Linked DNA regions of Ovis aries. The protein of the gene in region 1 purifies or fractionates together with the protein of each later gene. This does not show direct contact. Links are inferred from orthologs where the notes say so. Each region holds a gene or a part of one and is shown on either strand. Other genes may lie near its edges.

The links. Proteins that work in one complex are often made in the same cells at the same time.
Region 2: the proteins of ZFYVE9 (region 1) and PML purify together in Homo sapiens (affinity purification with western blotting; 3 studies listed by BioGRID and IntAct, with this or other methods). This does not show direct contact. The link is inferred for Ovis aries from reciprocal best matches to the Homo sapiens genes ZFYVE9 and PML.

What each region holds. Positions count from the first base shown.
Region 1 is NC_056054.1:26,593,454-26,601,391, reverse strand, and holds the start of ZFYVE9 (zinc finger FYVE domain-containing protein 9), read right to left. Parts: upstream 4,828-7,938; 5' UTR 4,717-4,827; intron 1-4,716. UniProt on the Homo sapiens protein: Early endosomal protein that functions to recruit SMAD2/SMAD3 to intracellular membranes and to the TGF-beta receptor.
Region 2 is NC_056071.1:32,279,090-32,287,236, forward strand, and holds the start of PML (protein PML), read right to left. Parts: upstream 4,281-8,147; 5' UTR 4,202-4,280; coding exon 4,067-4,201; intron 1,839-4,066; coding exon 1,372-1,838; intron 1-1,371. Other genes in the region: STOML1 (stomatin-like protein 1), read left to right, coding at 7,004-7,136.

The DNA.
Region 1 (7,938 bases):
TAGATCATAGTATGTCTGAATTACTTAATGCTCCCAATACAGGTGATAGTAATGAGAGCAGAGCAAGGAAAAAGAGATATACATCAATGGGTAACTATAATGGACTTTTAAAATATACACATGCCTACTGTTATATTCACACAAAGGTTATTTAATGTAGCATTAGAATCAATCAGCACTATACAAAGCAGTGTAAAATGGGGCATGTGTATACACCTGGGTTTGCCACAGTCTTAAAACAGCTGAACAGCACTCCATTACATGTATTACAATTTAACTCTCATCCCTTTCAACATACATCTAGATTGTCTTCATATTTTTATAACTATATACAATATAATGAATATCTTTGTACACATACATTTACACCTCAATATGCAATAAATCCCTACAAGTGGAATTTTAGACAAAAGTATTACACAGACTGAATTTTAATAAATGTTGCCAAAATTTCCAAACATGCTGTGCTTATTTCTATTTCTGTGTAAAATTCTTTCTATAAGTTCATCATTATTATTACCCATCTTTACCAATTTCACAGTAGAAGCAATGGAACCTGATATCTCACTTAGTATTTTTTATTAATTTTTTATTTCTGGCTGCACTGGGTCTTTTTTGCTACCTGTGGGCTTTCTCTAGTGTGCGAGTATAGGGTTCTTGCTGTGATGGCTTTTCTTGTTGCAGAGCACAGGCTCTAGGGATGTGGGTTTCAGCAGCTGCAGCTTACAGGCTCAGTTGCCCTGTGGCATGTGGAATCCTCCCAGACCAGAGAAAGCAGACTCTCAACAACTGGACTACCAGGGACATCCTTCTAACTTGTATTTTTAATTATGAGTAAAAGCTGAACATCTATTTATCTATCATATGCTTATTGGCTTTTTTGTCTACATATAGGCATATATATATATAGGTTGGGTTAGTCACTCAGTCATGTCCGACTTTTCGCAACCCCAGAGGCCTGGCGGGCTCCTCTATCCACGGGATTCTCCAGGCAAGAATATAGGAGTGGGTAGGCATTTCCTCCTCCAGATCTTCCTGACCCAAGGACCTAACCTGGGTCTCCCACATTACTGGTAGATTCCTTACCATCTGAGCCACCAGGGAAGCCTACACACACACACACACAGACACACACAGACACACAGACACACACACACACACAGACACACACACACACACACACACACACATATATATATTAAGCCACCAGGCTCCTCCATCCTTGGGATTTTCCAGGCAAGAGTACTGGAGTGGGTTGCCATTGCCTTCTCCAATATATACACACAGACACACACACAATGTTTGGAGTTGTTTTTATTTAAATTTATCTTTAATTGGAGGATAACTGCTTTACAATATTGCATTGGTTTCTGCTATATAGCAATACAAATCAGCCATAAGTATACATATGTCCTCTCCTTCTTGAACCTCCATTACACCTCCTACCCCATCTCACCCCTAGAGGTTGTCACAGAGCACCAGATTTGAGCTTCCTATGTCACACAGCAAATTTCTACAGGCTTTCTAGTTTTACACATGGTAATGTATATATTTCAATGCTATTGTGTCAGTTCATCCCCCCTCTTCTTCCCTCACTGTGTCTACAAGTCTGTTCTCTGTCTGCATCTCCAATATTGCCCTGCAGACAGGTTCATCAGTTCCATATTTCTAGATGCATTAATATATGATATTTGGTTTTTTTATAACTAACTTCACTCTGTATAATAGGCTCTTGTTCATCCACTTTATTAGGATCTCTATTCCAGTTTAATGCTTATTCTTTTTTTTCTACTTGGAAGTCATCCATTTTTTTGTAATCAAATTCATCAGTTTCCTTTATGGTTTTTACATTTCACATCATGCTTAGAAAAGCCTTTCTCATTCCAATATTATAAAAATGTTAACATATGTTTTCCCTGCTATTTTCATGGCTATTTTTGTTTCACTCTTTCATTGTCTAGAATCTATTTTGGCAGTAAAAGTTCTGTAACTTGCTTTTCTCATTCCAAAATAAATCCTATATAACTTTCCACATCATACTTCATTTATTTATCTATGCATATAGAATTTTTAAATATTCCTATATCATAGCTTATTTAAATGTTTAATAATTATATAGAGCTATACATTAGTGAACAAGGCTGAGTGCCGAAGAATTGATGCTTTTGAACTGTGGTGTTGGAGAAGACTCTTGAGAGCCCCATGGACTGCAAGGAGATCCAACCAGTCCATTCTGAAGGAGATCAGCCCTGGGATTTCTTTGCAAGGAATGATGCTAAAGCTGAGGCTCCAGTACTTTGGCCACCTCATGCGAAGAGTTGACTCATTGGAAAAGACTCTGATGCTGGGAGGGATTTGGGGCAGGAGGAGAAGGGGACGACAGAGGATGAGATGGCTGGATGGCATCACCGACTCGATGGACGTGAGTCTTAGTGAACTCCGGGAGTTGGTGATGGACAGGGAGGCCTGGCGTGCTGCGATTCACGGGGTCGCAAGGAGTCGGACACGACTGAGCGACTGAACTGAACTGATACATTAGTTATGTTAGTAGTTATTTACAGTACTGATGAGCATTTACATTTTCTATTTTTCAACAAGTACCAAGAATGCTGCCATGTAAGTGCCTCCTTACACACATGTTTTTTTTAAGATACATATTAAGAAATAGGATTATTGAGTTATTAGTATGTGTCTTCTTCGCTATTCATAAACTACCCTAAAAATGATATGCCTAATACATTTTCATTTTAAGAATTCATTCAACAAATAGTTAAGACCTTTTTTAGGCTGAGCATACAGCATAATGGTAACCAATTCAGACAAAGGCACCACTTTGGTGATTAAGAATTCAGGCTCTAGAAAGAGGGAGGGCTCAAATGTATATTTATGGCTGATTCACACTGTTGTACAGCAGAAGCCAATACAACATTGTAAAACAATTATCCTCCAATTAAAATAAATTTTAAAAAAAAAAGAGTACAGGCTCTAGATATAGGTTGCCTGAATTCAAATTTGGGCTTAGTAAGTACTGAATGTCTGACCTTGGACAAGTTTCTCTATCCTTGTGCCTCAAGTACCTTAACAATAAAACAATAATAATAATAGTACCCACCTCACTAGGATTATTGTAAAGACTGTTGTGCCTGCCACAGAGAAAGTATTCAATAAAGTTGTCTTGTAATTATTACTTAAATTTGCTCTAACCAACTTTCTTGCCAATGAGAGAGGTGAAAATATCATTTTACTATTTAATCACCATTTCTCTGATTATCGATAAGACTGACATACATTTTATCTTTTTTACTTTCTATTCTGTGATCTGTTCAGATCTCTTATCCGTTTCTTCTATCAGGATGTTTTGCACTCTTCTTAATGTGACACTAGATGAGATGCAAATATTTCATAGCATGATGCCTAAGCTCTGACCCACAACTGTGGGGTTCTATTTGTGGCCAAGTTACAAGAATAGCAGTGCTGACTACTGTCCTGCTAAGAGAATTTCATGTTCTGCTCTCTAAAAAGATTTCTGAGTGCTTAGATTCAGGGGAAGAAGGTAAGGAATACTCTTCAGGCAATGGAAAGTAAAAGCTAAAGGCAAAGGGATGGTTTCTATCTTATCTACTCTTGTTTCCTTAACATGTGGTACAGGGCCTGACACATAATGGACTCTGGATAAACACATATTGTTTGAATGAATGCAAAATCTCCTTACTAGGTTACAAGCTCCTTGTGGGCAAGGATGGCATCATACCTATGTTGGTATCACTCCCACAATACCTAACAGTGTTTTTACACAGAGGAAGTACTCAATTGTTTTTACTGAAGAGACTGCTATCTCTGAACCTGTGTGATAGCAGCTGAGGTAATCAATGAAAAACAAACAATCCCTTCCTCATATAAAGATTAGACTCTGATTTGCAGCTGTAGAAGCTCTGTATGGAGCTGTTGTTTAGGACTCTGGTGTTGTTTAGGTCACTTCTTGAATTCACCATCTGTTTCAAGTCTTTGTTCTAGGAAAAAAAAAATGTCCCTGGCAGTTACTATGCTGTGAGCCCACGTAGGTGCTGCTGAGACCACGTCCGTGCAATGTGTCTCAAGCTTTAGTTTCCCTCCAAATTATTCCTTCTCAATGCGTTATTTAGAAATAAGTCCAGACCAGCGCACTAGACACAGTCGTTTGGGTCTCCTGATTCCTCGTCCCACATGCCCTGCCTGACAGAGCTCTCTGCTTTGCTAAATGCTGTGAGGCTGATTATTTTCCGGAATATCACTCTTGGTGATCTAGGCTTGTAGTCTCATGTGAAACAGTGAGACAATGGCATAATGGAAGAAGTGCAGGATCCCTGGAGCCAGACGATCTGGGTCTGCATATTAACTCAGCCATTTACTACATCACCTAAATATCCCTAAGTCTCAGTTTCCTTAAGTTTTCAAATGGGAATAACAGCAATACTATATCTAACCCACCTGGGTCACAAGACTGCAATAAGAGTTATAAAATTAGATTAAAATGCAGAAATATTTTATAAAGTATTCTACAATTCTATGTCACTACTATATGAAATAGGACTCAAAGACTACACTAAAAGAATCCCACCAGACAATTCATAAGAGCAAGGATCATTCATGTCTGACTGGGTCATAGCTGCATCTCCACAGCCTGGCATATTTGTTGAAGGAAAGACTAAGAGAATAGAAAATGAAAAGAGCACCTACCAGTGACCTTCATCAAGTTAATAAAGCTCTGGGTTTCAATTTGCTCATTTGATACCACTTATGTCAAAAGATGTAACATCAAGGATACTTTTCTATTTCCTTCTTCCTCCAAAGCCAGATATACTTTAGGACCTGGTTGTATAAAAAGTAGATACTCTTAGTAGTTTAATAATAATGGGTACTGACTCAAATTATTCTAGAGATAGTCAGGAACATTACACTATCATCTGCCCTCTATTCTCACTAAAAATTAATACTGGCTAATCAGACAGAGAAAGATAAATATCACATGAAATCACATATATGGAATCAAAAAATGATACAAGTTAATTTATTTATAAAACAGAAATAGACTCACAGACATAGAAAACAAACTTATGGTTACCAAAAGGGTAAGGAGCAGGAAGGATAAATTAGAAGCTTGAGATTAACAGATATACACTGCAATATATAAAACAGATAAAAAGAACCTACTATATACAACAGAGAAATAAATTTACTATCTTATAATAACCCATAATGGAGAGAATCTGAAAAACAAATATATATATATATACACATACACACACATTTTGAAACTGCATCACTATGCCGTATACCTAGAACTAACCTTAACACTATAAATCAGCTATACTTAAATAAAAAGTTTAGGAAAAAAAAATCAGTACTGGCAAAGTCATTATTAAATACTTTATCTCTGCCATGTTTAAACTGCTTCAGTTCACTCAGACTCACATATACATAAACCCTTAAAATGAACCACTGCCGTAGTAAAGTTAAGTCTTCTCAGACACAAGTGCATCTTTATGTAACCTAGACAAAATAACCTCTGGTGCTCAGCCATGTCCGATTCTGTGACCCTATGGACTGTAGTCCACCAGGCTCCTCCGCCCATGGAATCTTCCAGGCAAGAATACTGGAGTGGGTTGCCATTTCCTTCTCCAAGGGATCTTCCCAACCCAGGGATCAAACCCGTCTCTTGTGTCCCCTACACTGGCAGGCGTAATTTTTACCACTGCACCACCTGGGAAACCAAGACAAAATAACTTACTACTAGTCAAAACCATTTAAGCATCAAAGCCACATCAAAACAAATTCCATTTATTGGTCACAGTACATAAAATGGGAATAATGTTTACTGAGTTACCAAAAGTGTCCACATACATAGCATCCAATTCACATTATGCAGCAGAATTAAAGCTAGGGCACCTCACAACAGAGCGCCAAAATACATGAAGCATAAACTGACAGAACTGAAGTAAGAAACAGACAATTCAATAATAAGAGTTGTATGTTTCACTACCCCACTTTCAATTGTGGAGTAGGGAGAAGATTAGTAAAGAAAAAGAAAACATGAACGCTGTATGCCAATTAGACCTAAAGACCTCTACAAACACTCCATCCAACAACAGCAGGATATACATTCTTCCCAAGTGCACATGATTAGGAGAGACCAGGTTAAGCCATAAAACAAGCCTCAATACATTAAGAAGGAATGAAATCATACAAAGTATGCTTTCTGACCACAATGGAATGAAAGTAGAATTTCCTTTGAAATTCAAAACTATATGAAAACTAAGCAACACACTAAACAAACATGTCAAATTATAAATCACAAGGAATATTACAAAATACTTTCAGGTGAAATGAAAATACTTTAAGAAACCAAATACAACATACCAAAAGTTATGGGATACACTGAAAGCAATGCTTAGAGGAAATTTTATACTATTTTAAACATCTACTTTTTTTTAAAAAAAGTAAAATTACAAATAGTAACTTTCTACCTTTAGAAACTAAAAATAAAACAAGGAGGGGGGCAGGAGGCAAACTAAACCCAAAGCAAGCAGAAGGAAGGAAATAATAAAGATTATGAAACAGAGCATGACCCTGTGGGGCCCTCCAGGATACAAATCTTTTCTGTGTCTCCCATCTCTTGTTTGCAGGAAAGAGGTTTCATTCAGCCTCCCTGGTCTTCCCTGAGTTCCAAAGGGCAGATTCAAACAGTTGCTTATCGGGAAGGAAGGGCAGAAGGAAAAGGAGCAGTCAGGAAGCGATAGTACAGCCGTGGCGCAGTCCTGGTTCCTCCTCAAGGAACATATATATAACAATGCCTTCGAGTTCTTCTGTAGGAACTAAAGCCCCCACACAGGTGGAGGGTGGCAACTTCACACTAAACACAAGACTCCTGGAACACCACTCTGTTACCTCATCACCAACCAATCAGAGGTAAGTCTGTACACGGTAGAAGATAATAAAGGCTCTGACCCCCTCCCCAAATGATTCTCCCTTTAAAATCTTTAATGGCTGAGCAGGATCTTCAGAGTTGGTTTTAGAGTTCGCCTTCTCCCCCGGCTGTCAACCTCCTGAATAAAGCAATCACACATTTTCAAACCAATACTTGCCTCTCTCTACTGATTTGTTGCCAGTGTAGCAACCGTAGGAGTTACAAAACTGGAACTCCAGTCTGGCAGTCCAGGCAAACAAAGGGAAGACGGGATGCCTGGGGCTTCCCAGGGGCTCATTCTATTGGTGAATTCAAAACATAACGTAAGAAACTAAAGGCAAAGGAGAAAAGGAAAAACATACCCATTTGAATGCAGAGTTCCCAAGAACAGCAAGGAGAGATGAGAAAGCCTTCCTCCATGATCAGTGCAAAGAAATAGAGGAAAATAATTGAATGGGAAAGACTAGAGATCTCTTCAAGAAAATCAGAGATAGCAAGGGAACATTTCATGCAAAGATGGGCACAATAAAGGGCAGAAATAGTATGGACCTAAACAGAAGCAGAAGATATTAAGAAAAGGTGGCAAGAATACACAGAAGAACTATACAAAAAAGATCTTTATGACCCAGATAGCCACGACGGTGTGATCACTCACCTAGAGCCAGACATCCTGGAATGTGAAGTCAAGTGGGCCTTTGGAAGCATCACTACAAAGCTAGTGGAGGTGATGGAACTCCAGTTGAACTATTTCAAATCCTAAAAGATGATGCTATGAAAGTGCTACAATCAAAATGACAGCAAATTTGCAAGACTCAGCAGTGGCCACAGGATTGGAAAAGGTCAGTTTTCATTCCAATCCCAAAGAAAGGCAACGCCAAAGAATGCTCAAACTACCCCACAATTGTACTCATCTCATGCACTAGCAAAGTAATGCTCAAAATTCTCCAAGCCAGGCTTCAACAGTACGTGAACCATGAACTTCCAGATATTCAAGC
Region 2 (8,147 bases), on another chromosome or scaffold:
GGAAAAATGTCGGCACTATAACAAGCTCTTATAAGAGTAAACAAATAAACAAGCAAAGGACCTCAGCAAGCAATTCACAAATGAAGAAGCTCAATGACCAATAAACACAAGAAAAGCCACTGGACAGCCTCAATAATAAATAAAGAAATCCAAACTCAAACAATAATATCAGCCCTTGTGGAATCTGGTAGTACAGGTGGTAAACCTCCTAGCAGGAAGCAAGCAAGTTATAGTTTAGCCAGAATGGAGCTCTGTCTGAGTGTGCCCCTTATGGGCAAGGAATACCTTCACTTTGTAAGCTGATTCCCCAAGAATCGTATACAGCTATCTATTGTAGTTGCGTGAGAAGAGAGCATTAAAAGTTCACACAGGTATGCTATCATTTTGCTAAAAAAGGGAACAATACATCCTATAAGACTATATACTTATATCTGCGTGTATATTCATAAACTCTGGAAAGTTTTAAAGCTGGTGAAAGTGAAAGTCGCTCAGTCATGACTGATTCTTTGTGACCGCATGGACTATGCAGTCCATGGAATTCTCTAGGCCAGAATATTGGAGTGGGTAGCCTTTCCCTTCTCCAGGGGATCTTCCCAATCCAGGGACCCAGGTTTCCCACATTGCAGGTGGATTCTTTACCAGCTGAGCCACAAGGGACGCCCTTTAAAGCTGGTAACAATGGTTAACCTTGAATTGGGAAGGGAGAAGGGATGGGTATTAGGCAGATGTGGGACAAAATGGAATGGAGATTTTGTTCTCTCTATAAATCTTGTTAGCAATTTTCTGAACCGTATTAATGCATTTTATCTGTCTAAAAAAACCTGAACTTAAATTCCTGTGCTGCGCGGTGAAAATAATTAAAATGGAACTTGACTTTCTTCATACAGATCCTCCCAGGACGCTCGGGAGTGCTTTTGAGCCAGGAACTAACTACCCACATCTCATTCTACAGTCCTAGCTATAGGGAGACTGAGTGGCAGTGCTTATGGAAAATTTCACTCTTTAAGAGTTTTTAAAGGGCAGTTTGGTAACATGTATCGAAATGTAAAACTTTCATATCCCTTCACCGAGTAACGTATTTTTAAAAATTTATCCTGAAGAAATGACTGGATATGTGTGAAAAGATGATTCTGCAGCATTATTTTCTTGTGAGGGGAAATTGGGAACTATTACTATCCATCCATTCGCACGGGAAGAGTGTAAACTGTGGTCGTCGCTACTGATGCTGCTGGTGTGTGGACCACACTGTGAGTTGCAAGGCCTCAGAAGCTCCTTGACCCACGCCCCAGCTATGAGGCTCTGGGTCTCTCCTCCCCGCACCCTCTACCTCGCCCTTGGATGCACCATCCCACCCTCGGCCAGCCTGCTCACCTGGTCAGCATAGGGCTGCGGTGGTTGGGGTTGGAGCAGAAGATGTTGTTGGACTTGCGGGTGCCGTCCAGAAACTCCCGCACCGACTGGCTGCGGAGCTCCGCCAGCGGCCGGGCCTCGTGCTTGAGGAACCACTGGTGCGCCTCGAAGCACTTGGCGCAGATGAGCTGCTCACACTCGAAGCACCAGTAGTGGGCCAGCTCTTTGCAGCGGGTGCAAAACGCCTGCTCGCGTGCGATCTGCTGGTACACCGACAGCCGCCGCTGCAGGCTCTCGAAGAAGACGTTGTCCAGGGCCTGCGCGCCGGCACCTGAGGGCCAGGGAGCCTGGCAGACGGGGCACTGTATGCCGGACTCCTCCAGGCATCCTGAGCACAGCGTATGCAGACAAGGCAGCAGCTTGGGGCACTTAGCTTCTGCCCGGCAGCCCTGGCAGCGCAAGAACTGGAACTCTTCCTCCGTGGCTTGCTGGGGAATCAGGGAGGGAGGTGAGACGTGAAGTCCCAGGAAGCCCCACCCAACCGGACACCCACCCTGTGGCTGCACGCTGAGAGTGGCACTTCCTGTTTCATACCAAGCTGTCAACGGATGACACAAAAACCCAGCCTTATCAGTATCCCAGTCCTCCATTGACTTAGGCCTTCTCACGCTCACTCCATGATTTACTGAGCATCCGTTTCTCATAAGACACAGTACCAGGCCCCAAGATACACGGATGTATAGCAGCAGTCCCCAACCCTTTGGGGACTAGGTTACCGTTTCCTGAAAGACAGTTTTTCTATGGGTGGGGTGATGTAGGGATGATTTAAATGCATTATATTTATTGTGCACTTTATTTCTGTTTCCACTGTGAAAATTCGGTAGTGCAAGTGATGAGAGCGGCTGTAAATACAGATGACGTTTTGCTCTCTTGCTGGCTGCTTGCCACTGTAAGCCCGGTTCCTAATAGGCCAGGGCAAGTGACAGTCCGTGGCCTGGAACTTGGGGACCCCTGATTCCAGGACAAACCCCTGCCTTCACAGGACTTTAAAAAAGGAGATTCATTAAATGTGTGTCATATAACCTCACAAAAAATGCTTACTGCACTTTGATGGTTCCTCAAAAACTTAAACATAGAACTACCATAGGACCCAGCAATTCTACACCCAGCTATATACCCAAAAGAACAGAAAACAGGATCCAGATGCTTGTACATCCATTATTCTGTACACAGCATTAGTCACAGTAGCCAAGGAGTGGAAACAACTGAAGTGTCCATCAACAAATGAATGGATAAACAAAATGTAGTATATACATACAATGGAATGTTATTTGGCCTTAAAAAGGACATTCTGATACATGCTACAACATGAAAATACCTTGAAGACATCATGTTAAGTAAAACCAGCCAAACACAGAGACAAATACTGTAGCATTCCACTTATATAAAATATCTAGACTAGGCAAATGCAGAGACAGAAAGTAGATTAGAGGTTACCAGCAGCTAGGGGGAAGAGGGAGAAGGCAATGGCACCCCACTCCAGTACTCTTGCCTGGAAAATTCCATGGACGGAGGAGCCTGGTAGGCTGCAGTCTATGGGGCCACTAAGAGTAGGACACGACCGAGCGACTTCACTTTCACTTTTCTCTTTCATGCATTGGAGAAGGAAATGGCAACCCACTCCAGTGTTCTTGCCTGGAGAATCCCAGGGACAGGGGAGCCTGGTGGGCTGCCATCTATGGGGTCACAGAGTCGGACATGACTGAAGCGACTTAGCAGCAGCAGCCAGGGGGAAGAGGAGAATGAGCAGCTTAAAGGGTACAGATTTTTGTTTCAATGAAAAAATTCTGAAAATTGACTGTGGTGATGGTTACATTGTGGAATGCATTTAATGCCACTGAATTGTACACCTAGAAACAGATAAAACATAGGTAACATAATACAGTACCTGGCACGTGAGAAATACTCGAACATGTTAACTAGTATGGTAAATATTATTCCTAGGTGTTATAATGCAACAAATAAAAGTTAATGCAATATTATTTGTACTTTCATGAAGGAGAGTAAAAAGGGGCTGGAAGAAAACAGAGCAAGTGATCTAAGCACTTCCTTTGGGGGTGGGGAGTTTGTGCAGGAAAAGACCAGTAAACCCTTAAAAAACTCCTCAGGATGGGGGTTGAGGGAGCACGGTGCTCCAGGAAAAGGATCCAAGTAGCTTCCTAGAGGAGACACCACAGGAATCCTGGGCCTTAGCCAAGACACCTCTTTCCCACTTTCTGATCTGAGGACAAAGATTCTGGCTTGTCCACACCTGGAGCTTGTCCGGGTCTGCCAGGCGGGTGCGATAAGACTATTACTTCCATTTTCCTTAACAGGTGGTCCTTCATCTGAGGTAGGGGATAAGAGGCATGTCGCCAGCTTGGGCGGAAGAGACTTGGGCGGAAGAGTCTGGTCCGGGGTGCCACTCACTCTTAGCATCACCCCGCTGCTCGTGGAGAATCGCAACCCAGAGAGACCTCTCCCCTCAAACTCATGCTGGCCCCCTTTTCTACTTTCCACGACCCCTAACCCAGCCGAGAAGATCAGGACCCTCGCACCTGGTCTCCCTTCTTTACGTCATTTTTCAAGGTACTTGGTCAAGTTCCCCAGTCCCTCTATTCCACCGACCATACGTAATTAACAAAGCCCCAACCCCATCTCCCAAACGCAGTAGTACCTCTGTGGGGCTGTCGCTATGGCTGGACTGGTGGCCTTCGGAGAGTGCCTCCGGGGGAGGCATGCTGGGGGAGTGGGGCAGTGCGGGGTCCTGCTGGGGCCCCGGAGATCCGGCAGGTTCCGGATCCTGCTGCATGGAATCCAGCGCAGTTTCGATTCTCAGTTTCGCTCTTCGAGAGCGGAGAAACTGAACCCGAGGAAGGCGCCAGAACACTGAGCTCCCGAGCAGCCCTAAAGGGGAGGTGCCAGCTCAGGGCCCACCTCCCAGAGGAAGTGAAACACTAGCTACCGGCGGTTCTAGGGTCGGAGAGGCTGGCCCACGGTCCTGAAGACACGCCCAGAGCGGCGAGGAGGGAGAGAAGAGCAGTCACACGCAGGACAGCGGCAGAACTGATGTTTGTGCAGAATGGAGGCCGTCCCTGCCCTCGGCTTGGAATCTTTCATTCAGCTCACATTGGCACAGCTTCGTGCCAGCCCTCAGCTGGGAGCAAGAGCCACACAGCCGGGCCACGCGTGGCTCCTACTTTGGGAAAAAAAGGGAAAGTGTTAGTCTTCTAGTCGTGTCCGACTCTTTGGGACCCCATGGACTGTCGTCTTCTAGGCTCCTCTGTCCATGGGATTCTCCAGGCAAGAATACTGGAGTGGGTAGCCATTCCCTTCTAAAGGGGATCTTCCCTACCCAGGGATGGAACCCAGGTCTCCTGCACTGCAAGCAGATTCTTTAGCGTCTGAACCACCCCAGATCTAATGCAGGAGCAGTCCCCCAAAGGGAGATTTTCACAGTGTTGAGACTGGCTGGACAGGAGATCACTCAGCTGGGATTTGAAGTGATGGTGGGAATTTGCCAGGGATTCAGAGGCTGGGGATGGGTGGGCAACACTTAAGACCGAGAGAACAGCATATGCAAAGCCATGGAGGTTTGAAACAGAAGCTGTTTCGAAACTAGTTTTGAAACAAGCAACTCATTTTGGTTATTTTCAGATTCAAGAGGGGACCCATGCATGATGTCAGACCAAGATGGGCTGGGCAAGATGAGGCTAAGGAGATGGACCAGGGCTATGGACCACAGAGAGTTGGTGAAGGGTTTGAAAACAAGCAACCATGTCCATTGTGTATATTGGGACAGTCTCTCTGACAACCTAGGGCCAGGTGGTCTGGGACAGTGGCTGTGGGATGAGAGGAGGGACCCGAGTCAGACTGGGAGGACGCTGAGTGGAGATGACGGCATCAGGATGATGCCTGATGTGACAGCAGAAAGGGCTGGTGGATCTGAGGCAGTAGGGAATGGGGAGAGCTGGTGGGCAGGTATGAGAAAAATGAGGAGACAGCAACTTAGCAATGGGTCAAAGGAGAAGCCCCAGCTCTCAGCTGGTGAGGGGAGAAGGCACAGCTCCAGGTGGCATCACTGGGCCAGTGCCCCTGTCTTCAAACCTCAGTGCATTCCATTCATTGTGATGACTCCCATGGACCCATTTTGTGTTCAGTTCCAGCTTGGGACAGATTAGAAGGGCAGTGACAGGACTTTGCTCTTGTAAAACTTTAATAGTTGGGGGTGGGGTGAACTTATAGTTCAGGGTCAGGGTGGGAGGATAGGGGAGAACTAACTTCATAGGGACAGTGCAAAAACCTCAAGAGCCTACTGCATGCACCCTGCTGCTTGATTAGTGTCCCCAGGGCTTTAGAACCAGGCTATGAAGCTAGGAAAAGCCAAAGATGGTAAGGAGCCATTTGCAGAAGGGATCTGGAAGTGGACTATGGCTGAGGGGCCTTAGGAGGCAGGACCGGCATGTGTGGAACAAGAAAAGCTTTAATTTCTTTGCCCACTTTGGAACACAGCCTGCCTTGTTGGAAATTAAAATTTGTTGGTATACAGAGTAAATTCACCTTTTGCATTTGGTTTTCTCCAGCCAGGGAGAAGCAAGTTACCTTTGGGTACCTGGATTGTGGGGTGTGCTATTTCAGCATCTGTAAGACTGAGGGTCTGTGATGCTCGGGAGGGCTGTCCTGGGATAGCACTATGCAATCCCCTTCTTTACTCTGCCATGTTCCCTGAGATCTGCACACAGAATTTCTTTCTTTTTGTGCTGAAGCTCAGGCCCTCCTGCCCCAGGTTGACCCATAATGACCTGGTTACCCCTTCATGCAACAGATAAGCACTGACATCCTCTCTGTGCCAGGCCTTGCTTGCTGGGCTTTGTTGTTGTTCAGTCGCTCAGTCATGTCCAACTCTTTGCAGCCCCATGGACTGCAGCACGCTAGGCTTCCCTGTCCTTCACCATCTCCCAGAGTCTCCTGGAGCTTGCTCCAACTCATGTCCATTGAGTTGGTGATGCCATCCAACCATCTCATCCTCTGTCGTCCCCTTCTCCTACTACCTTCAATCTTTCCCAGCAACAGGATCTTTTCTAATGAGTCGGCTCTTCTCATCAGGTGACCAAAGTAATGGAGCTTCAGGGATACGAACAGGAATAATTTGCTGATCATGCCTTGGAGAAACCCTAAAGGCAATCTTCCCCAACTCCGTCCAGAGTTTGCTAGTTTGTGCTGAGAAGGCTGGTAGCATTTCTTTGCTTCTGGAGAAGATTCAGCTCCTGAAAACTCCCTTGCAAAGCTCAGCTTCTCTTCCTGCTCCTTTTCTAAGACCTAGTGGGAAAAGGTTTAGGAGGAGCGGACCGCTGCGGGCCTCCAGGACCACTTGACCACCCTTCCTCCCAGCCCCGCGATCGCAGTTCGGTCCTCCCAGCGCAGGGGGCGCTATGCAACGGTGCGAGCCGGGCGCGGTCGGCCTCCTCCTCCTGCACTCGGGCCGCCCCTCCCCCTCCCCCGGCAGCACAGGCGAAACCGGAAGCAGCGGTCGGCGGGGGCGGGGCCGTGTAGCGGCTGGCTGGTCAAGCCCCGCACTGCCCTGGGGCGCGGGGCGTGCCCTCTGTTGGGAACCATGCTTGGCAGGTCTGGGTATCGGGCGCTGCCTTTGGGGGACTTTGACCGTTTCCAGCAGTCGAACTTCGGCTTCCTGGGCTCTCAGAAGGGCTGCTTGTCCCCGGAGCCGGGCGGCGTGGGGCCGGGGGCCGGTGAGTGGCCGCCCAGCGCAGCGGACCCGAGGGAGATCAGCAGGCACCCCCGAACTCTGCCTCTCGGGAGTCAGAGTGTCTTGCGTCCTCGCAGCCTGAGAGGAGAGGGGTTTTCCACGATGTGGAGAAGGGCTTGGATCAGGCACTGGGACACTACCGCCCATCCGCCCTTAGAGCTACGGGGCGGCAGCACTGGAGCTCTCTCACTTTCAAGAAGCCTCGCCCCACCTCGTTTCTTCTTGGCATTTATCACCCCAAAGGTTTCAGGTTTCCGTTTTGCCCAGAAAGAAACTAAGGTCAAGGCATAGGAGGTCACCAGCACGCCAAGAACACTTGGTCGCCAAGAAGTGGCAGAATCTTCACCTCAGGGGACACCTCTAGATTCCTCAAGCCTGAGTATCTCCCGGTTTCCTGGTGGAGATGCGCCGGGCAAAAAGGCAGGCCCTTAGATGCCTGTCATGTCTTCCCAGGCCCTGTTTTTTCTCCAAAGCCTTGAGTAATTCCCTTGACCCAGAGGTCAGATCCCACATGCCTCAGCCTGACAACCAAACCCCAGAGGATTCGGCCCTTCTGTGACCCCCTCCTGTAATGAGAGCTGCCCCTATTCAAGAGTTCTTTTCCTGCTGGGGCCACATGGATCAGAAAGAAGCAGGAGATTTAGTATTCCAGTGCTCAGAGAGCCCAAAGGGTGTGGTGTTCCTGGAAGGGTGGAGCAGAGGATTCTGTCTGCTTCTAGTTCAGGGTTGGGAGAGGATCCCCAAGATCATGGGGTTTCCTCAGCTTTCAGTCCCATCCTGGGGTTCTCATTCACCAGGAGCAGGGACCTGTGCTTCAGCCAAGTCTTTTCTTCCTAGTCCCCCTCCCTCACCTCTCTTCTGAAGCTGCTTCAAGTGAAGTGTGCATTTTGATGGTCATTAGGACTTTAAAGTGTGGTGAAGAATTGTGAGCTAAGAAAGAACATCTTAGCCCTCATCTGTGTCATCTGTTGAAGAGCCATTGATGCTTTTTTGG